Linked DNA regions of Caenorhabditis elegans. The protein of the gene in region 2 interacts with the protein of the main gene of each other region in a pairwise test. Each region holds a gene or a part of one and is shown on either strand. Other genes may lie near its edges.

Evidence for each region.
Region 1: the proteins of gex-3 (region 2) and gei-8 interact in a two-hybrid assay, tested with the Caenorhabditis elegans proteins (one large-scale study listed by BioGRID).
Region 3: the proteins of gex-3 (region 2) and gei-6 interact in a two-hybrid assay, tested with the Caenorhabditis elegans proteins (one large-scale study listed by BioGRID).

The regions. Positions count from the first base shown.
Region 1 is NC_003281.10:8,117,327-8,123,719, forward strand, and holds the start of gei-8 (Nuclear receptor corepressor 1), read right to left. Parts: upstream 3,907-6,393; 5' UTR 3,735-3,906; coding exon 3,727-3,734; intron 3,480-3,726; coding exon 3,393-3,479; intron 3,337-3,392; coding exon 2,690-3,336; intron 2,445-2,689; coding exon 2,372-2,444; intron 2,322-2,371; coding exon 2,132-2,321; intron 1,052-2,131; coding exon 717-1,051; intron 671-716; coding exon 1-670. UniProt on the Caenorhabditis elegans protein: Mediates transcriptional repression by certain nuclear receptors. Plays a role in development and neuronal function. May play a role in muscle-specific oxidative mitochondrial metabolism.
Region 2 is NC_003282.8:12,401,923-12,410,265, reverse strand, and holds gex-3 (Membrane-associated protein gex-3), read right to left. Parts: upstream 5,836-8,343; 5' UTR 5,832-5,835; coding exon 5,720-5,831; intron 5,670-5,719; coding exon 5,569-5,669; intron 5,523-5,568; coding exon 5,373-5,522; intron 5,303-5,372; coding exon 4,931-5,302; intron 4,882-4,930; coding exon 4,833-4,881; intron 4,777-4,832; coding exon 4,563-4,776; intron 4,511-4,562; coding exon 4,201-4,510; intron 4,151-4,200; coding exon 3,409-4,150; intron 3,351-3,408; coding exon 3,126-3,350; intron 3,075-3,125; coding exon 2,253-3,074; intron 2,204-2,252; coding exon 2,091-2,203; intron 2,042-2,090; coding exon 1,826-2,041; 3' UTR 1,576-1,825; downstream 1-1,575. Other genes in the region: dsb-1 (Double-Strand Break factor), read right to left, coding at 1-16, 75-392, 443-825, 874-1,040, 1,090-1,208, 1,254-1,331. UniProt on the Caenorhabditis elegans protein: Rac effector required for tissue morphogenesis, cell migrations and egg laying. May play a role in egg laying and in yolk protein clatherin-mediated endocytosis by oocytes during oogenesis.
Region 3 is NC_003283.11:7,224,970-7,233,142, reverse strand, and holds gei-6 (GEX Interacting protein), read left to right. Parts: upstream 1-2,294; 5' UTR 2,295-2,297; coding exon 2,298-2,372; intron 2,373-2,419; coding exon 2,420-2,578; intron 2,579-2,622; coding exon 2,623-2,737; intron 2,738-2,783; coding exon 2,784-3,167; intron 3,168-3,213; coding exon 3,214-4,251; intron 4,252-4,298; coding exon 4,299-4,886; intron 4,887-4,939; coding exon 4,940-5,603; intron 5,604-6,308; coding exon 6,309-6,606; 3' UTR 6,607-6,767; downstream 6,768-8,173. Other genes in the region: C05C8.5 (Exonuclease domain-containing protein), read left to right, coding at 1-79, 127-406; krr-1 (KRR1 small subunit processome component), read right to left, coding at 534-711, 770-1,081, 1,132-1,598, 1,798-1,953; fkb-3 (peptidylprolyl isomerase), read right to left, coding at 6,914-7,342, 7,418-7,774.

The sequences.
Region 1 (6,393 bases), on a different chromosome or scaffold from region 2:
AGAGACGGTCACTGGAGGCGCGGCACTCTGTGCCTGTGGCTGCTGCTGCTGTTGTTGTTGGACAAGACCACGCCCACCGAGCTCTCGTTCACTGCCGCCAACACTGCTTGAGCCGATGAGATGGGATGATGAAGAGGTTGGTGTGGGCCTTTTTGCTGGTGGCTCGTCTACATCAATCTCGAGAATGTCATTGTCCTCCTCACCATCATCAGACTCATTTTCCTTTGTATCCATTGGTTCCGGCGGTGGAGGTTGGGACGATGTCGATGGCTTTTGAATTCGGGGTACTGGTGGAAAATCTGGTTTGTGACCCCCAGACAAAATCTTCGGTGATAATAACGTCTTTACAGGTGAATCAATGTCTCTGACAATCACCTCCTCTTCCTCTTCATCTACATCCTGATCTTGATCTTGGTCTTGATCAGCGTCTTGATCCTGTCCTTCAGGTGAATCACCTTCCATATCAGCTGGAGACCCATCTCGATCACTTGGTGCCTTGGAATCCTTCCCTCTACTACCTCTGCTTGCATCCTCATCATTATCTTCAATCTCCATTTCATCAATTTCCTCTCCAAGATCCTCGACGGGTTTTGGCACTGCCTGAGCACGAGTAACAGCTCCGCCTGTTCTACGACCTCCAGCTGAACGAGGAGCCCGAGGTGTTCGCACTCTGTAATAGAAAGTTACTATATTTTCAACTTTTCATATAAACTTACGGTTTTTTAGCATTCCTCGCTAATCCACTTCTTCTGGCAGCAGCGCTTGATGTTGTAGGTGTATTCACCAATGCATCACCTCCTTCTTCCTGACCATTTCCATCTTCTTCATCAACTTCTTCAATCATTGGCTGAGTTTTGACACCATTCATAGCATCATATTGCATTTTGCACTCATTCGGTCGACGATTCATTCCTTCCGAAATGGAAACCCAATCAAGTGTCGGTGATGAGTTAATTAATGTCACAAGTTTTGTCTTTTCATCATCCGTCCAACCAACTTGTCCCTCATAGTTCAAGAGTTCTGCCATTATTGTTTCCTCTTTGTTGTTCACCTGAAAATATTTATTGTTTTTGTTGCTTTTCATATTTTTATTTTCACATTTTAATTTCTCATATCAACGGTGACAGGTACCGTGTTCTCTTTCCCAACCATAAAAGAGCCCATTCTCTCATGGGACTTTACAAATATAATTTTCGACCAACAAAATCGCCTTTATCACTGAGAATGCCGTGCATAGAATATACAACACTTCCTGGTTTAATAGAGTAGGATCGTTCAATTCTGAAGCTTGCTTATTCTCAGCACACTCCTTTCAAGAGATGAATGTGTCAGAATATAAATGAGAAAGATCAATCTCGAGCAAAGCACAATGTTTGGGTTTGAAGAGGGCCCAAAAGTAATAGATTGTCATTCTTGAACAAAACATTTCTAAAAATTTTTTAATCATTAACGTTTTATAAACTGTTGTACCTCAGAATAAATATGTGGAGTTGCTAATTTTCATTTCAAAGTGAAAATTTTAGTCTTACAATAATTGTTATTGGTTTTCAGTGGACTTTAAGCGTACTAGATATCAGTCTCAATACACCGAAAACTGATAAAAATTTCTAGGTTTTTTTTTCAATCGATGTTCCTTTTGCAATTTGACGTATTTAATCGAATTAAAAAAGATACCGGAAGAAAAGCGCGAAAATTTGTCGAAAAATATAATTTTAAAAATTCCCGATAGTAAAAAAATGATAAAACAGAGTGAACGAATATGTTTTATTTTTTATTCGAATGCAAATCAGTCACGAATCACACATGATACTGTACTTTTATGATCTCCCTATTATCCGAAAATAAATGTATGTGCATGAGAGAGAGAGTGTCGTATCAAAAAAGAGGACCACCGCATTCACCCTTTCCAAGTAATTGCATGTTCCTCCGATTATGAGCTCTCACTTTACGACCCTACATCTTGCTCTTTACTACTACATATTTCCTAATCCACAAAGGATGTATTGGTTAAAAGATACAAGAAATCGGGAAATCGTTTTTACAGTACAATTCAGACCCCTCGTTGATAACTTTTTCGGATGTCATATGGTTGTTTTTCAGAATAGTAGATATCCCCGTTTTAACAACTCACATCATTAATCCACCGAGTCAAGGCATTCTTGCATGGAGTACAAAATTTGACAGCAACACGTGTCGATCCGAGTTTATCCATGATGAATGCACGCGTTCTGACTGGAAAGTCGGCGAAATCTAGAGGAATATTCCTATTGACTCGATTTGCTCGTTTCTTCTGATTTGAGCATCGATTACCAAAGCACCGACTGAAAATTATGGTAATTCTAATTATGTTTCAAAGATTTCTACAACTTACTTGTCTTTATATAGTTTTGCAGCTTCTTCACGACAACCCGAACAAACAACTCGATCTTCATCAGGACAGATAGCTGAAATATATATTTATAGATACACACTTCTGACTTCTCAAATTTTTTATTGTAGGGTTGAAAAATGTATTCCTATTTTATTTTTTTCAGATACAAATTTTCACATCGCCTAGAACAAAACGAATCAGAAATTGCAGGGTTCTGCGTCGTTTTCTCTACGTCTGTGAAAAGGTGGAATTCGTCTCAAAAGGGGATATAAAGGGAGATTGAAGATTTTGAAATACAAATTTGAACATTATACTTACCAAAAATTTCATAAGCCTCTTTTGGCATAAATGTTCCATTAAGATCGATTCCGTTGACTGTACGACAGCAAAAATAACACATTAGAGAGTTTTTGGGAAATGAAGAAAAATCCAAAGGAGGCATCATTCGAAAGTATGCAAGCTCTTCAACCGATGGAAATGCTCCAACTTTATATTTTGTGACTCGTTTCTTAGGTTTGAAGTCCTTCTTGTAGTCTTCGGTTTTCTTGTTCATATAGTAAAAAAGCACAAGATCCGATGCGGTTTTATCAACAAAAAACTCGGTTAGTCCATGGAAAATCTTCACATGATCTGCTTGTCGACTCTTAAACAATGATCTCTCTTCAGGGCTCCATTCTTCAAGACGATCCAACACTGATTGTCGATGTTCTTTCTTCATATCTTTCAGAATTGAACCGGGTCGTTCCACAAATTCATCCATTTTTCGTTCACTCTCTGTGAGAAGTCGTGGGATTTTTGCAACACCTAGCCGAATTTTCTTGTCGGCGTGCTCTTTTGCCAGCATACTCTTCTCATCTTCACCGCGGATTCGTTCAGCACGAGCCCATCGTTCTCGATCCTCCCGTTCTCTTTTCAGCTCTGGGAATTCAGATTCTGCTTGAACACGATGAAACTCTGCGTATTCTCTGTAAAAAATGAAATTTAAAACCTAACTTTCTCGGAGAAATTGCTTAAAACTCACTTTCTTTCTGAAGTTTCTTCCCATTTTTGAAGATCATCTTGAAAGGCTTTGAACTTCTCATCATATTCACGGGCGAGCTCTTTGAAGCTGAAAAAAATTGGTTATTTATTAAGTTTTATTAAGTATTAATTAATTAAGAATGAAGTTGGAGTATCGAGAATGGAAATGTTTGTCGTTTTGAAAAATCACATTTTTTAAAACTTGGATATTTAATTCTTTCTGGAGTTTTTAGAAAAATTGGTATTTCTGAATTTTAGACTGAAAAAAAAAATTTTTGAAATAATAAACACAATTGAAGCTACCCCAAGATTTTCCAACTTTAAATTATACAAACCTTTCCATGATTTCTTTGTATCTCTTCGCAGTCTAGTGTCGTCTTTCCCACCGTCCCGATGAAATACAAAGACGACTTTCGACCGGAAGAGCAATTTTCTGATTATTCAATGGTCGTTTTACACCTCTGATATCCTATTCCCTCCTTCCACTTGTGATTATGTGATAAGAGGAATAAAACCTGAAAATCAATAAATAAGAGAAAAGAAAATTTTCAGAACATAGAAAAACATAAACTAAACGAAAAATAAACGGAAGTCAAGCATAAAAAACATAATCCAAAAGTAGGAGGATTAGCTTGGTTTTCATTTAAAGGTTAACATGATTCTAATTGGTATTAAGTGTTTCGAGAATATGAAAAATGACAAATAACTAAATGAAAATTTTAGTTTTCCAAAATTGTTCTTAAAGTCTATTTTTTTCGAAAGTCTCTTCAAAAAATGTTTTAGACTTCTTTTGGCCTACACTGGACAGAGAACACTCCATTTTTCAGAAAATTACCTTATTTTAAGAATAGTTTTACTTCGCGTAAGGCAAAATAGAACTTGAATGTTTGGTTTCTAGAGCATCTAGTTGTGAGCAACATCATAGTATCGCAAATATTGGATTTAAAAAAGAAAATAGAGTACTTCGAAAATGACAGATTAGCCTAGTTAGTATTTTAACAACTAATCAATTTTCTCATAACTTTCTTAAATGAGTTGTGAGAGCAATGATCCAAAAAATGAGACTGAAAAGCGGAAGACAAAAAATAAATCTAGATTCTAATGTCCCCCTTTGCTCTCTTCATCTATTGCTACGCGAACTACATTCCTTATTGCATATTCGTCATTGTCATCAACATCATCAGAATAAAAGAAGAAAATAAAGAAAATAAGAACACGAAAATAGTGAAATAAATGAAGAAAAGGAACATTGCAGATGTTATGAGAAAGAAAGACAAACAACCGAGAAAGTGAAAGAGATAGATAGGAGATTGGATTGAGAGTATAAAAGTTCAGGTGAACTTAATTAGCAGTCGGGGCAAAAACGGGGAAAAAGTAAGCACGGACACTTCCAGGAAGTTTGGATTAATGGAAACGTGCGCTCATATTTTTTTTCTAGTTATTTTCTAGTAACAAACCCATGAGCAATTATCAGAACAAAACGTGTTTTGTTGCGAAAAAGCTGGAAATTCAGAGCAATGGACGCGAATAAAATTTCAAAGAATATCAGAAATTAAATAATAGGAAACGTATCTGGTGACTGCAATATCGTTTTTGGCGAATAACAATTCTTAAAAGATGAATAGAAGTTAGAGATTGGTTGTTTTAAAAATAAGTACACTTATAATTGTGGAAAATAGGGTCTATCAACTTCGACTTGATACTTAAAAAAAAATTGTGAAGGTAAAAGTTGTTTGGAAAAATGAGAAAATAAATATGAATCTTGTCCCATAGTATGTATACCTACGAATTTTACTAAAACTGCAAAAGATTAACAAAGAAGGAAAAATTAAAAGACTATCTTTTATTGAACTATCGTATTTTTCATTTCCAGTAAGAAAGATAAATCCGTATTTATATTCAACAATATATATAATTTAGGATATTTAGTGACATCTAAAAGGGCAACAGCTGCATAAAAAAACCCGGCTTCTCAGGCAGAATAACATAATATTAATAGGAACGTGAAAACTAAAACATCAAATAGACACGGAAATGAGCAAAAGATGAGAAGCTGCAAAAAAGATATGAAAATGAGGAGAAGATGATCGGATGTCTCTCATTTTTTGCTCACACTCATACGGATTGATGCAGATGAAAGTGCCAAAAATGAATGAGAACGACAAGAATGAATCCATCCGATTTTCATCTAACACCTCTCTCTCTCTTTCCATTTTCCTCTCTCCTCTTCCGATAATCAACTTTTTCTTTTTCAGCATCATCAATTGCATTGCTGGCAGAAAAGTGGAAAAACAGAAAACATCGGGTGCAAGCGCGTGAAGTCCAGTGAAATTCTGAATCCGGTGGGAAACAAACTCGGAGTTAAAGAAGAGTGTAGTGCAGAGTTAGGAGAATTGTAGATGATGGGGTTATGATATTAATTAATAATTTTAGAGGTAATTAATAATTACGCATAAAGTTTATGTATTTTCTATGAAAAAGCTAGCGGTCCTTTCTAGAAAATGTTGTGCATTCTGTTTGAAATTTTTGTACATAATCAGTGATTTGATAAAGTCAGAAAACAACAAAAAAATATATGCACAAATGTATTCCAAGAATACAAATGTCGTATGCATCGAAGTAGAATTAGAGTTCTTGAAAATATAACGAACATAATTTTTTTGCGAGTGTTTTCCTAGTTAATATGATTTTGAGAAAACAAAAATTATGCTGCAAGTATAGCTGCCCTCTGCGTCTTTTTTCTTGAGCAGAATCTGATTTTCACTAGAGAAAATTGCATTCGTAAAACTTGGGAAAAATACTGAACTGGAAAAATGTTAAATGTGAGTTTTTAATGAAAACCTTTTTTTTCAAGTTATAAAATTGTTACTCAATTTTTCACTGATGTGGCAGCTAAATACTATATAGGGAAAAAAAACAAGAATGAGCAGTGTAACACCACAAAGTGCGCACTAATCGAGAAAATGGAAAGTATGTAGCTGTCTGTGGATGTGAAATTGGAA
Region 2 (8,343 bases):
GGTGATCCTTGACTTTCTGTAAATTATGTTTTGAAGTCGGTCAATTTTATTATTATTTAACAAATGAAACTTACTTTGTAAAATGCATCAAATTCGTCATTTGGAAGTTTTCGAATTTCAGATCGCATCATTCCAACCAATCTCGCCATTTTTGAATCACTCATAACTCTCTTTATGTATCTCCTCAGGAAAGCAGGATCGTCGAAACGTTCATCAACATATTGTTTATCTGTTTGAACGCATTTGTCCGCAGTTTGCTTGATTTGAGGAGCCACAGTCACCGGATTGAGTTGATCTATCTGGATATCATTGGCAGAGGGTGGGCTGTGAAAATCCGGAAATGAAGGTGCGTTTGCGGGACTGGAGGACAATTGAGAAGAGTGTGATGAACTCTGAAAATTAATTTAATAGGGTGGGATATTCCAGTTAATTTTCAATTTACCTGCGAAAATCCGGAAAATGACGAACTGTGCGATGGGCTGGGACACGGAAATTGCAAAGAATGGTTCGAATTTGGCGAAAATCCAGAAAATGGTGAATCATCGTGGAGAACGCTGTAAGCCGAGCCAATCGATGAACTAACAGTGCTGGCACTCGACGCTGGCCTATTGTAAGGATTGTAGACTGGCTGTGAGAAGAATTCATTTGCTGTGAGTGCTGGCATCCGGGAACTTTCACCAATGTTGGTGGAATACGTATGTGATAAGTTTCTTGCCGCGGATTTCTTCACCGAGCCACCAATATCAATATCGCATGGTTGGGAGAAGGATGTCGGCTGTGATGACGATCCTCCCTTCCGTTTCTCGACACTGTTGTACCACACATCTATAATTCAAAAATGAAACTTGAAACTATTAAAAGAATAAAGAATACCGGTATTTGTGGATGAGCGATTCAAATGATCCTTAACTGGAGTCTCCGAAATATAAGCAAATTTTCTGACAGTTGACAGAAAATTCTCCCGATCTTCGCCACGAAGAGTTAATCGGAAACCTTGAGCCTGGTTGTTTACAATCACGAACAAATTTGTGTTCTTCATTCTGAAAACCGGGCAATTTGACTTTAATTTCTCAAACAACAAAGACTCACTTCAAACTCGGATACCTAGAAACTTCCATGTTACAATAAACGGTCTCGATCGGCTCGACTCCATGAATAACCGTCAGCTTCCTGCTATTCACCTCCATAACAACGCGAATATCTTTGCCCTGCAAATTTAACTTTTCGATACAGAATTCATCTATTTTTAAAACCTCTTGTCGATTACCGCTTCCTCTCAATTGCTTATACTTTATGATCGGCCACTGGAGTGTCTGCAATTCAGGAAACATACTGAAGAGACTGCAAAAACATAAATAATTTTTTTTTACTAAAAATGTCTAAAAATTTCGACCTCATTGGACCTCAAAATGTGAAAAAATTCAAAATTGCATGCCGGTCGTGGCGAGACCCATCCATCACTTTTACGCGCGAATTCAAATTCAAATTACCAAGCATATCTAATTTAGCTAATTCTCGTTTTTTTAACTTAAAATTTAATCGCATTTATGTAATAGATAAAATAAAAATTTTTGATAAATTGATAAAAAGTTTATTATGACGACAAACTGCAATAAATTAAAGCCAAATGGAAGGCAAAATGAGTACTTGGGAGCAATGATTCACACGAAAATGCAGGGAATAATAGTCAAAAAGGCGGTATTCGGAAGCGGGAACCCGTATAGTAATGGTTCGTTGAAGAAAGAAAAATAAAATAAATAAAATACAGGCACAGGAAGTATGTGAGAAGGGATCGTAGCTGTACATATTGGGATCGCAGATAAAATTATTGAGCATCAGCCTCGTAGCATTGTTGGTAGGCTGTACGGACGAGATTATATGGGAAACAGGTTTCAAGAACATCCATCGACAGCCAACGGTTTTTCCGAACCATCTGTTCAAGGATAATGTAGAGAGTTGTGTGGGAACGAAGAACGTCGTCGGATATTTGTCGACTGTTATCACGTTCATGAATAGTTCGTAGAATACCCGAGGACGCGAGCTGAAAATTTTTCTAGGTGAGAATATGTGTTAATAATGATAGAGCTAACCGCCAAGAACTCCTTCATCCTCGACTGGATATCATTTTGCTCGTGGAGATGGAAAAGAGCTGATCCGATAGTGTTAATCGCCATTGGAACACAGTGACTATTGTTCAAGCTGGCTGAAATTGTTTATTTTTAATTTTTGCAAAAAGCTGTAAAAGTATGTACCTTGAATGCTAGGCTTGTAAGACGAAAGATCCGACATTCCAATTCGTGGAATACAGATAGCGACGGCAACCATCAATAGACAACTATTAACATAGTGTTCTTGAGGGTGAATATTCGGATTTTGAGCACGAACCGCATTCACCAACGACATATCAACTGGTCCTGTGACTCCCATCGCAGCTGACATTTCTCCAATTTTAACTTTATCAACATCGTCCAAATTGTGATAAAGCATATCAAATGATGCTTGAAGAAATGGCAATTTAGATTCGACGATATGACGAAGAGCATCGTGGAGAGCATCACGAAACAGACAAATCTGTCCGATAATAATAGTTCTTTGCAGAATTGCATCAGCTGCGCATGTTGCGTTCGGAGTTTTCTTGTCCTTTGGTTCGACGCTCAAAAGATTTAAAACATCCTTCATCTTTTCAGCATTATCGAAATTAGATCTAGCAATCTGTAGAGCATCTTTGTATGTTGCAACAATCTTGCTCATCTCCATAATTTGACTGGCCACGTGCCAAATCAGCCGTTCAGTCATCAACTTTACTCCATAAGGTCCGATAATTTGAACCAATGCTCTCAATTCTTGAGGATCTGAATAATGATCGGGCATGAACGAGAGTTGTTCCTGTCCTGATGATAACATTGTTCGTAGATGCTCACTCCAAACCATATGACCAGATGAAGCACGACGGAGCAAAACTTCGAGATACCATTTCGTGTAGAGTGCTGCGATTGTGTCTTTATTCTTGGAATCAACGAGTTGAGTTTGTTGTAGAAGAGTTGTTTGCATTGTATTACTGATATCCACAGAAACTGAAATTCCATTTATGAGAATATTTATAGATTATTTTAAAAACCACTTACTTGCTGTATCAAGATTTTGAAGAACCGTCATGTAGGCTTGTAGCGCAAGGAGCATTTCACTTGGTCTTTTTGGATTACTTGCATGTGGTTGACCTTCCCAGAACATTCCATGAAGCAATTCTACAAATTTAGTTTCAAGGGACTGCGCTAGGTACGTCCTCGGTGCAAATGTGTGATCAGCAACGTAAATTTGACGATGAGCTCCGAGAGCTGCAGAGATTTCAACTGAAAAGTGGGAAATTTGTGATATAAAATCTAATTTAAAAAACGTTTTAAAACTTACGAAGAGTTGTTTGCAACTTATCAGGCATTGTTAATGCTTGACGATCAACTCGATAACTTTCTTCTCCAGCAATGAAATAATCTCGAGCGGCTGCTGCGGCCGCCGCTGCAGCTTTTCCAGATCCTTTCTGTTGAACAACTTGAGCAACAACTCTTACAGCCACGGCGCTCGGTGTCATTTGATAAGCTAATCCGAATTCATGTTCAGCCACTTTTTCCAGGATATATGACAATTGTTTGCACGTCTCTTCAATTACAGAATTGCATTGAGCCAAGGCTTTTTCAGTGATAAATGCTTTTTCTTCAGGACACATGTCATGGAGGGCGCTTGTGAAATGCGCGGCAAGACGTGCAAAACTGAGCACATATCGAGCTTGAGCAGGTAGCTGGAGACAGTTGAGCCAATGTTTTTCAGCGAGTTTTGGATAGAAGCAGTATAATGATAAATCACTTGTTTCCCTTAGCATCTCGTCTTGCAAATCGATCATTTTCAGATGAAAAACTGAAGTATTCATGTATATTGCGAGTTTTTTATGTCTTGAAAGTTGGAAATGGCTCCGAGCAGCAGATGTCCAAGCTTGAAATCTAAACCAGTCTAGTCGAAGAGCACGAAGATCCGTATCAGAGTTGATATTTCCTATTTCGTTGGCAAAATCGGTCAAAAGAACCGCTTCTTCCTGGGTGAGGCCATTTGCTTGGTTAATCTCTTCAGAAACAACAATTGAATCATAGCTAGACACGTACTGAAAATAAAAAAGATTTAAAATAGATAAATTTAAAGTTTTAACAAAACCTGTAGATAGTATCTTTGAATCACTGCATAATATTTCGTAACGAGATCTCTTAATTCCAGCATATAAAATAGCAGTTCTGGAAGTTGCCTGTCAACAAGCTCCTCGACCATTCTGCTGCCTTTTTTGCTGATAGCAGGAACTTCAACTTGATGCCGTAGAAGCCATATGACCTCATCTCTTCCTGCTCCAAGAGCCATCCAGACATAGAGAATTTTCGGGCCAAGTAGTCCGGGCTGATCTCGTAGTAAAAGTGACAGCTCTCGAAGAGAACTTCTAAGGAAGCGGCGACGGTCTGCGTGGACGGCAACTCTGAAATACAAATTATTAGAAAACGCTTTGTTTATCATATTTTTTAACTTACGCAGTAACAGATGCATGATTGAACGCATCTTTAACATCTTGTAACCGTTTGCTTTTTTCTTTGGAAGATTCTAAAAACGCTTGAATCTCTTGATGAACAATAAATGTTTCGTCTCGGAAAACGCGAAGACACAGATTCATTTGAAGTGCCAGCTGCCACATGTGCCTAATGTTGTCATCGTTAAGAAGAGTTGAATGGCATACTGTTCCGCAGACTGAAAATATTACAATTTTAATAAACATTTTAATACTAATTTGTATATTAACTTACACACAATCCATCGATCAATGACGTCGAGTGATAGATATTCGCATGCAATCTGAAACGATTTACATAAATAATTTTCCATTAAATAAAAACTTGCTCACAGTTTCTGTTTGAGCAGCATATAAAATTTGTGCTGGAGCAGCGGTCAACGAGAAAACATTTGATGTTCTCCATGAATCTGCTGTCTTGTTTCTGCGCTGATATGTGTGTGTAACAGAAGAAAGAGCTGAATAAATTAGCCTGTTCAGTGGTCCGAGATCTTCATGAAGCTTTTTTAACGGATTTTCATAATCAAGAATCATTTGTCCTAATCTTGGAAATGATGCTTCACTTTGTCCGTGTTGTAGATCATATGCCGCATTAAAAAGTCCAAGAACAGCTTTCCGGTCTTCAATTCTTGATAAAAGAATCATCATTGTGACGAGATGTACAACAAGATTCAAATAACTCGTTGTCAGGTCGTAATTGAGCGTCTAAAAAATAAAATTTTAGCTTAAACATTATACGAACGATATAAATATTTAAAATCAATAATATACTCACCACATCCAGCTGACATTGACATGATTCCATAGTTGTCAAAACTTGCATAATGTGATCTTTTAAATCAAGAATATCAGCAAATGTGTAGTAATATAGCGATAAAGATTTTGTAATTTCCGTGGACTTTTCTTGTACATATTCGAACGTCGACTGAAATTAATTTCGGCATGAGAAATCAACAATTTGAACTACTCACTGAATTCGATCTGCAATCAACAACAGGAAACTTTCTAACTATATGTTTGATTGCACCTTCCATCTTCTTGTCGCTAAGAAATTGTGGTTTCACTTTTGAATCTGAAATCTTCAGCATTTTATAACAACAGAAATTTTCAAAGACTACTCACCGCCGCTTGATTTCTTAATATTGTATATCCGTGTCATCATTCCAGCAGCACGATCATTCAGTATCACAAGTTTTTCAGCAATTTTCACCTGTCTGGCATCTTTGTAAGCCATTTTGCTGAAAATTGGAGAGAAAATTGAAGGGGAAATGAGTCACAAATTGGATTACAGTTTAAAGGCGCATTCAATTAAACAAGAGGTGTCTCTCACCACGGCTGTGCAAGCATGCTCTATTGCGCTCTTTTGTTGGCGGCAGTTTGAACGAGAGAGGGAGACCGTTATAAAAAATGTAGACCACGAAAAATCTAGACCACGAAAATATTTAAAAAAGCTATTTTCAGACAGATTTTCAGGTTTTTACAAAAGAAGTTTATTTAATGGGGAATAAACTTCTTGTTTTATTGCAATTTGTCACCGCAGAATATGATCTAGATCACCGTGAATGGCACTGACGAGGTTCAAGAACTGGAAAAACGAACAAAAAAAAATATTTGGAATGTTTGGAAAAAAAAAACATAAAATCAAACTGAAGAACTATTCACCAAATATGTTGCTTTTATGAACTTTCAAGCTTTTTGTGAACTTTTGTGTCGACTTTTCTTAAAAATCATATTTTTCCAAATTATTTCCCCACTTTATGTATAGTGATTGTTTAGTGAGAAGAACAAAAATTCCTTGTAAATCCCTAAATACAGACAGACAGTTTCACATCCAATTACGAAATATTTCATTTGATATTTCCAAATATTTCCAATTTATATCTCTTCGTCCCTCCGTGGCAGCTTAGTTCATCAAACCTTTCCACCGTCGATTCGAATCGGCTTTCTTATCAGGTCAAATGCTATAGATAGCTGGTCTCTCTCCCTCTCTCTCTCTCTATCTCTCTCTCTCTGATAGTCCGAAGAAATTCTCACATCGTTTACAATAGCGAACAACACCGAAATGGCTGTAGATGGAGGAGAAGAAGAAGAAGCATGAGACCAGCAAGGATCGGGAAACTGTGAAAGAGAGAAACGGGTTTGACGAAAGGCCGGACGGATGGTTAGCCTCTCTTTCTCTCCCTCTTTCCCGGGAGGCCTTCCTTTCATTCAAATGTTTCCATCGCTTTTCGTTGAATACTTCCACTCACTTTTGTTACTTCTACACATTTTTCTTCATTTCATATCTTTTTATGAAACTTTTTGGATTCAAAGTTTTCACTTGTTCGTTTCATTTAACTTGCAAAAAAAACAACTATCTTCATCTTAAATCTGTCAGAAAAGGTGCGAAGTCATCGCATTCATACAGCTTCTCCATCTTCTACAGCTCGCCTCATTCAATCTATTCACTGTGTCAAACGTGTTTCTAGTTTCCATATGTCTATACAACTTTTATCTCTTCCGTTCTCTGTAATACAATTATTTTCTGTTCTTTTGAATCGTTTTACACACATTGCGTAATACCGATCGAACAGTTTCTATCGGGTCCTGGCACGCGCGGAATTTTTCAACTACCGTACCTCTTTGATTGTTTCGTTAGTTGAAATGTTTCGATCGTGACAAGACTCAAGTTGGTGATTTTAAATTAAAATTCAAAGTTTTTGATTTAAGTATTTAATAGCATAAACTTTGACAATGCTGCACTGATTTTCCAAATTAGGCTCCGCCCATATCTTGGCTCTTTTGAAATTTTACATTGCATTTTCTCGTACTTTACTTCTACATAGTCTACGAACACAGAATAGATACCTAAAATAAACTCAAAAATTCCATACTTTTTGAAACTGTGCATGGCAAGCTTTTGACCTAAAAGCTTATATCTCATAGTCAGACATTTCAGATGCTATCCAGGATTCGTCAACTAATAAGATATTCATCTTAAAAGTTTCCAATTTTCTTAGTTCAAGACTTTTTGATAACTCTAAAGTCTTACTAGATATAAATATAATTCTAAAACTTTTGCAATTTTCTATATTTCGTTACAGCCCAAATATTCTCAAAACATAATTATTCCAAATGTTGACTTGTAATTTGATCTAAACAAAAGAACTTATTCAAATCCAAACATCAGTTTTTCGTGTTTCTTTGGCAAATAAATTTGCAAAACCCGGAAAGGGAAAGCAGTTCAGTTCCCACCTGGAACAGGTCTTTCATTGAAAGACCTGACTGAACATGTCTTTGAAATTCATAAACAAAATGATTTGGTGATAAAATAATGATGGCAAGCGGAAGGAGAAGATTCGAATGTGGTGGTGTTAATGCCTACAGGCATAGGTTTAGGCGGCCTGCGCCTATAGGTCTATAGGCGCACAGGCAGGCACCGATTATGTGTGTTGCAAATGTCCTCGTTTCTCGTTGTTGTGTCGAAGCTTTTAAATAAAATATTATACAGAAAAATAGATAAATACTTGTTCTTTTAAAAAAATTAAATTTCTTTTGTTTGAAAATTTCGATAAAATTGCTTAAAATTTCCTCAAAGTCGAAATGGTAGCATTACAACTTTGAGTAAGTTTTTGAGAAGAATCTTGAAACATTCAAATATAGGAATACAAAATTATTTTCAGAAAACACACATATTTTTCTGTATGTTATGTAAGTTTCCGCTTTGAAACTTTAAGAAAATAATTGGAAAAGCGGGAAGTGTGTCT
Region 3 (8,173 bases), on a different chromosome or scaffold from region 2:
ATTTGAAAAAGGATAAAATGAAATCTGTGATGTGTGCTTTCGATACTGCTATTCTCGACTGTCCTCCCATATCAAAAAAGTAAGATATTTAAAAATAATAAAGTTTAAGTACCTAATTTATTTCAGGGTCCGCTCAAAACTTCATTCCTCTTTTCCCTCCTATAATGGATTCGTCAACAGTGTAGCTTCTGAAATGCTCAATGACAGTGTAATCCTCGTGGAGATTGACAAAGAAAAAATAGAACCATTGGAAGAAACTGATTCAGAGCAAGGAGAAGTTCCTGACAACGCGGAGGCACTGAATCGGATTCTTGAAAAACTGGTTGCCGCCACGGCTAAAAACTCACTGATTATGATGATCTTGTCTAATTCCACTAAAAACGTGCTCTATGTAAGAGTCAAATAATCTTTTTTTTTAATATTAAGTTTCTCATAAAATGAATAACAAATAAAATTTGGTTTAATTTAAACTTCAATTTCCAACAAAACAACAACATTGATAACAAAGAAACGAAACAGTGAAATCATAAAATTTACTTGGCGGCTTTACTGAGCTTTGCCTTCTTTTTCAGCTTTTCCAAATCGATCGGCGCGTCGTTCGGTCGCTTCTTGTTCTGTTTTTCTCGCGGAGCTTCCTCTTTTGCTTGATACACTTTCAACTTTTGCTTCTGTTTTTCCACAGTCTTCACCGCCGATGCTTCCAATTTCGCTCTGAAAATTTCATAAATTTATTAAATTCCGTTACGATTTTTGAATTAAGAATACTTACCTCTTTTTGTTCATCTTTCTTTCGTTCTCGCGAATAAAATATTCTCCGCTTTCAATCTGCTTGTCAATCTTGCTCATAACTGGAGCCGGTGGGAACGGAGTGAACTCCTTCTTGGGCTTCATCTTGTAAGCCTTCTTCTTCTTTGCTTCCTTTGTTGTAGTTGCAGATTGAACCTTCTTTCGGTAGTTTGGAAGATAAGCATCCCAGTTTGCATCTTTCAATTCATCATTTTTAGATAATTCCCTTTTGATCATCATAGTTTTAATATTGTAGATTGGGTGAATATTTTTCATACAATCAGTGACGATTTGACTGAAATTTTTTATGATTTCAAAGAGAGTCAGAATATATTTTCAACTCACTTGATTTGTTTCAGTCCAGCAAGCGGTCCAACAGCACAAACAGTTCCTCCTTGAACACAAACATAGCACTGTGTCAGCAATTCGAGAGCTTTCAAGGTAGCACCATCGTTTCCAATTAGCCGAGCTCTACGCTTCACAAATCGTTCTTTATTGCGAACCATTGAAGAGATTTTGATAATCTCGCAATAGATTTCATCTTCGAGAACACGAATCGCTTGTTCATAAGGCACACTACGGGATAGAAGCTTGATGACCTCGCGAGCCTTCATGATTATATAAGGATCCCAAGTTTTACGAGTAGTTCGGACACACATTGTTCCCTCGAGGAGATCCAAATCTGCTTTCAGGAAATGCTCTCCTAGAGCTTTTTCGATGAGTGGCCAACTTTCTTTAATATACTTTTCGCGATATTTGGGGAATAATGAAGAAAATGATGACTCTTGGAGTAGACCATTCGGATTGTCTTCCTGAAAAATGTATTCATTTTCTTCAGGTTCATACTACAAGAGAAAAATTACATGGAACCAACTTTTTTCATTGCTTAACATTTAATTTTTCAGAAAATATTTAGTGTTTTGGAGATTTTAAAATTAGTTTTAAGTAAATTTAGCAGGTAACTTCAAAAATCGAAATATATTTATTTAGAATACAATATCAAAAACATACCTTGCTGAAAGTGTTAATATCCCACCACTCTGCATCTTTCTGTGGTCCGAACATTTTTGCAGTCTCTTTCCGCGTCTTCTTCTCTTCCTCCGGTTCACCAGCCCATTCGGGCTCGTATTCTCCACGAGGTTTAGCTTTTTTGTCAACGTTGCTCATCTTAAATTATTTTTAATTAATATTTAATGTTTTATACAAAATAAAATAAAGTTATATACAAAAAAAATCAGAAGAAATTGATTAAAAATGAAGAAAAAGGGAACAAAAACTGAGAGAGGAATTCGTGCGGCAGCATTGCATAAAAAGTGCGCGGGGGTTGCGACTCCTGCTTCACGCTCCGCCCACTGGTTTGTCGATTAATTTTTCTGTGCGGAATTTACACTGCTTCTGCTGGCTTTTCTTATGTTTTAACTGTTTTTGTGTTTTATATAATTCTGAAAGTTAAATCTTGTTTCAATTTGCGTCTATTTTACCTGTTTTTTTAAACAAATAAGTGGCAGGTAATGAACGGCGCAACAACTGAAGCAGAGGACCATAGCGTATACTTGCCTTCTGCGCATCCGACTGATCAGATTGACGTAATTTTTTATTTTGTTGCGTTCAATTTCATTATAATCTTGTTCAGCCAATCGAGGGAACATCATCGGAGAATAATGATTCGCCAATTGATGAAAGCTCGAATGATTCGACTACTTCTTCGTTGTCAGTACTAAAGCCCACTGATCCTGTAAAATGCGATACGTGTTCAGTATTGGCTACGCTATCGTTTTTCAAGCAGCGCCAGGTTGGTTGTACAGGATAAGCTAAAACAAATTGGAAAAATTTCAGCCAGCGAGTGGCGGCAAAACAGAGGATATCTTCAAAAGCTATTGCAGTAATTGCAAAACTTTTTTTGGAATGTCCTCCAAGAAAGTCAGAGGAGTATTTTCGTTTGTGAATGAAGGTAGAGACACGATACTTTTATAGAAAATTTAAAATTACAATTTCAGATGGAAGAATATTGTCCAATAGTGAAAGACTTGAATTCCTTCGTTCTCAGAAAAGAGCCAGATCCGCTTCACGCTCAAATAGTGTATGTCAAGTACCTGAAAAAGGTTCGGGAGTTTCCAATTCTGACACGTCGACTAATGGGAATTCGGATGAGAAGGACGAAGAAATTGCTAAAGAAGATGATGAAGGCATCGATGAGGATGATGGTGATGAGGAAACACCTGAACAAAAAACCACCATCCCAAAAAAGAAACCCAAAAATGCGTTTGGTGGAAAATCAAAGAAAAACAATTGGGGAACTCGGAAGAAGAGCAAAGCCAAAGTCTCTCAAGTTCAGTCCACGAGTTCCGAGAAAATCAGTAAAAAGGACCAAGAAAATGCTCGTAAGTACGAGTTTTCGAATATTGTTGCCAAATATTTTATTTTCAGGTCCGAGAGAAACTAAATTAAGAAATACGCCAACTGTCACACCAATCGACAAAAAGAGAGGTCGACCCATAAAAATCTCACCAAGAGCTGCGACGATTTCGAGTGTATCAACAAAGCCAACACATACTTCTGAATTTTTCAAAAGTTCTCCTATAACGTCACATGTGTCCAAAACTGCGGAAACTTGCTGCCAAACCGATACGGATCTCTTATTGAAATCAACATATCTCAAGGAATGCTTCAATACAACTGTCAGAGATGCCCTTGGAGAGCCGGTTGCTGCTCGGTTAAATGATATGCCAATGGTTTTGAAGAAAAAGTTTCTACTTATGATTAGAACGATTAGCGAGCAGGAGAAGCGAATTTTAAAATATGAAGAGAACGAGGAGAAAAGTCTGTTGGCAGTGAAAACGTTGAAAGACTTCGGAAGGTCTACTCGACTCGAATTTTCCGACAGTTTCCGAAATATTCGTGCTGATTTGGTTGAGAGAAAAGAAGAATTCAAAGCTCATGAAGCCGAGGTTGTAGCAGTAATAAAAAGCCAGACAAGGACATATGAAGCTTATAAGCAACAGATGCAAAAAAACGCAGAAGATCAGAAATTGGAGTACAGCGCTCTGCTGGCAAAAGTTGAGTTCCTCCAACAAGAACTAACATATGAGAAGGATCGAGCTGAATTCTATCTGCGAGCAAGAGATGTATGCAAAAAAGAACAAAATAAAGCCATCGAACAGGCGGAAACTGCTGTGAAGAACTTGAATGATCGACTTTTTCTGGCGGATAACGAGACGTGTACTCGCTGCAAAACTGTCGAGAAGATACGCAAAAAAATGACGATGGAAGTGGCTGAAATGACTGAAAAATGTGCACGGGCAAATCAGGAAAGGAATGATGCGGTGGAGAGAGCCGCGTTATTCGAGTCTGCTGCACAGAAATTGGGTAAAGATTGTGATTCGATAAAATACGAACGTGATTCTTGGAAAGCATATGCGGAACGCTACAAGAAAGATGTCATAAAATTGACTCATACTTTGAAAGGTTATTATTTTTCTAATTATTTAAATTTCAAAATATTTAATTTTCAGAAAAGGATAAAGAGCTGCTGGACAAAATCGCTGAAATCGCTGCAACGCCTAAAAGTATAACAACACCGAGAAGCGTGGCGTGTACACCGAATGATCCTGAAAGGGTTTCTCCTCCGGAAGATGGGGAGATAGTTGACACTCCACCTCATTCATCTCCTCAAGCTACACTAAATCCTGCACCGAAAGCTGTCGCCAAGCCGTTGATACAACAAATTGTTGAAAAGAAGGCGCCGCCACAAATCGCGTCCGGTTTTGAATCATGGATTCCGAAAGAAAAATTGAATGCTCCGGCGCCTTCCATTCCAAAATCGGTTTCTGCTTTTGGAGTTCCATTGAAACCGCCGAATGCTGAATCAGAGAGGCCGAAGGTTGCACCTTCTTCTCAACCGAATCCGTGGGAAAAACTGGCAAAATCCACTTCAGCAGCTGCTTCTAATTCTCTATTTGAAGCTCTTTCTAAAGTTCAAGCTGATAATTTTAGTGGCGGTGGAAGCACTCCGTCGTACTCGAAATCTTATTTGGAAGAGATGAACCGAGTAATGAGTACAAGAAAACGCGTCGTAGAGGAAGCCGCAGAGGTACAGAAAAGTAAGTTTTTTTCAGATTTATTAACTGGAAAATTATTTATTTATTTATTTCAGAGCCAAATCCTGCTCCGTCCGGTGTTACTGCGACTCCACCCAAAAAAGCAAAAACGTCAAATTCTGTTCCGCCAAACAAAATGGTGTCTGCCGCTTCTACACCTTCGTCATCGTCTACCCCAGGCCCCGCCAGTACAAGTGTCGGCAGGTTCACTAATTTGAAAAAGATTCCGAAACTTAGTGAAAAACCTCCACAAGCCGAATTTGCTCCAGCTCTCGGATTGTCTCAGAAAAGTGACGAGTCCGGTGAAATACCAGGATTGGGAATGGAAAAACTAGATGACAGTGTGAAGGAAAAAGAAAAAGAAGAGATGATGAAAAAGATAAAGCCAGCAGAATCAACGACTCCCACTGTCAAAGCATCGCCGGCTCAAAATCCGAATAAGCCAAATACTCCAGCTCAGAAGCAGAATAAGTTCAATGGCTCTCCAAATAAGAAACCAAATATGAGACCCGTCAATCGTACTGGTAATTCACAAGCTCCTCCCTGGCAAAGATCCCGACAACCATCACCACCTCCATCAAATCAGTCGCCATGGCGTCAACAACCTCAGCAACAATATGGAATACAATCGAATCAGAATCGAGGTTTCCAAATGGATTTGGGTATGGACAGGCCTTGGAGCGATTCTCCGTCTGGGCCAAGTGGTTCACGTTCAAATAAGTACGTTTTTTAATTACAAAAACCAATTTATTTCATAATTTGAAAAGTCTTTAAAATTCTAAAAATATTCTAAAGTTCAGAAATATCGCAGAAAAAAAAATAAAAAATCGAGCAATACTTTAAAAGATTCAACTTTTCTAAATTTTTAAAAATGATTTTATCAATTTTGTAAAAAATTTAAAGTGCTGAACCATTTTTTTGAATTCTCTTCGCAAATGAGTGACGTCATTTTCGCGTTTTCAGGCGATACTGATTTTTTATAATATGAAACTTTATTTGTCAGTTGTCAAACATTTTTCCGTAAAGAAAACGTGAAAATTCGAAATAAATTCGCTGAAACTTTAAAATTAGCCTGAAATTCGATAATTTATATTTGAAACACTTTTGTGCGGAAAAATGTCTAAAAATTGATAAATTATGTTTTTATAAAATTTATATTATAAAATTTAAAAAATGAAGAAAAACCAATCAGTATGGCCGAAAAACGCAAAAATGTCGAAAATTATGCCACTCATGTAATTCAGAAATAATTCATCCCTTCTTATTTTTTTCAAAATTGGAGAAATCATTAAAAATGTACAAATTTTTTAACAGTTATTTATATTCGATGCAGTGAGAATGTTCTCTGTCATTTAGGGCAAAATACCCATCAGATGAATTCCAAACCATAAGTTATTCAGTTTTAATATCCAATTTCAATTTTAGCAGCTTCTCCGACCTACCATGGCATCGAGCTCAAGATACTCCATTCGGAAAAGTTCCTATACAGGACAATTTTGCGATGAGTGGACCACGTCCGATGCCTCCGCGTCCTATGCCACCTCAACAATCTCCGTTCTTTAATAATGCTCCTGGAAACGGCTTCTATCCACCACAACCACGTGATTTTTCCCCGCCGCAACCTCCACAACAATCTCGAATGTTCCCACCGTCTCAGCCACCATTTGGATACGCTGGGCCTCCGAATCAAGGACGAGGAAACCCACGTTCATTTTACGGCTAAAATGCTCTTTCAGGACTCACCTTGTTCAATTCCTCTAATCGATCGCAAAGATCTCATCTAGTACTATTTTATAAGTAGTGTGTTTTAATTTTATAAATACCTGATGTATAGTTTTTGCTTTTTATACAATTCCTTTTTTCGTAATGAACTGTTTTAAAATTACTTATTCTTTTTAGATATTTTATATTCATTTCTTGTGTTCAGTGGATCACAATTGTGTACTTTTTCTTTTATTCATTTTAATACAAATTTATTGTTCTATTAAAAATAAGTTAGAAATTCATGAAAGTTGGGATTTTCAGTTAATCTAGAGTTCCTCTTTTCCTGGTCTGACAAGTTTCTCAAGTGAGAGATCGAAGTGAAGGTACGAGTTTCCTGGAATTGCTGGAGGTCTTCCATTTTCTCCATAAGCGAGCTCTGGTGGAATAACAACTTTTCTCTTCTCTCCCTGACACATTCCTTCCATGGCAATGTCCATTCCCTTGATAACTTGTCCGGAGCCCATTTTGAAGATAAATGGACGATTGCGGCTCCAGCTCGAATCGATGAAAGATCCATCCTCGAGATTTAGTGTGTACTGTTGATGAAGTGTATCTCCGGCTTGAGCCTTTTCGGTGCATCCCTCTACCTCGTGAGTAATGTGAATGTGAACTCCTTCATCAGTGATCCACTTGGCTCCGGGTTTTGGACGGAAGATTGATTTCAGCTCGACGAAGTAGTATAGAGTTTCTCCTTTCTAGAATAGTACAAATTACCATTTTATTTGTTTTGCAATTTAAAAATAGATTTTAAAAAATATAAATCAACTTACTCCTTCTACTTCATCTCCATCTTCGTCGAATCCTTGCTCTGGTGGAATGATCACTTTTCGCTGTTCGCCGACACACATTCCCTCCATTGCAATTTCCATTCCATGAATCACCTCGCCTTTTCCAAGAGTGAAAGTGTACGGCTTTTGGCCAAAGTTGCTTCCAATCACCTTACCTTCCTTGTCGGAAAGCTTGTAAAATTGCTCCAATTGATCTCCAGACTCGGATTTGATTTTGCATTTTGAGTCTCCAATTTTCTTGATAATTTCAATCTTGACACCTTCATCAGTGGTCCATGAACGGTCATTTGCTGCCCAACAGATGGCAAATAATGCTGAGGCAATAATTGATTTCAGCATTTTTGTGCTGGTTCGGTTTAGTCACTGAAATGGTTACTTAATTGTTGTAAATAGGCGGAATAAGTTACAAGAAAAGAAAAATCAAAACTTTTGAATTCAAAAGCACTACACGTGGAAGGAAAAGAAGGAAGCAACGACCGTCTTGCAAGTGTCTCCTTCCACTCATCTAGTTTATTCCGTTCTCGGTGGCTACCGCCACATCTCCTCTTCAGGTTTTGTTGCCGCGCAGTCCGAAGCCTGAGAGACGCAGATGAGAGACCTTCACCTTTTTATCTGCGCATTGGATCGGTTGTTTTATCAGAGAGATACTTGTTTTTTATTCACCACAAATCAATAAGTTATAGGTAACACAATTGGGAACGATTTAATGACGTGGCAAGATTATGGAAAGAGTGCGGT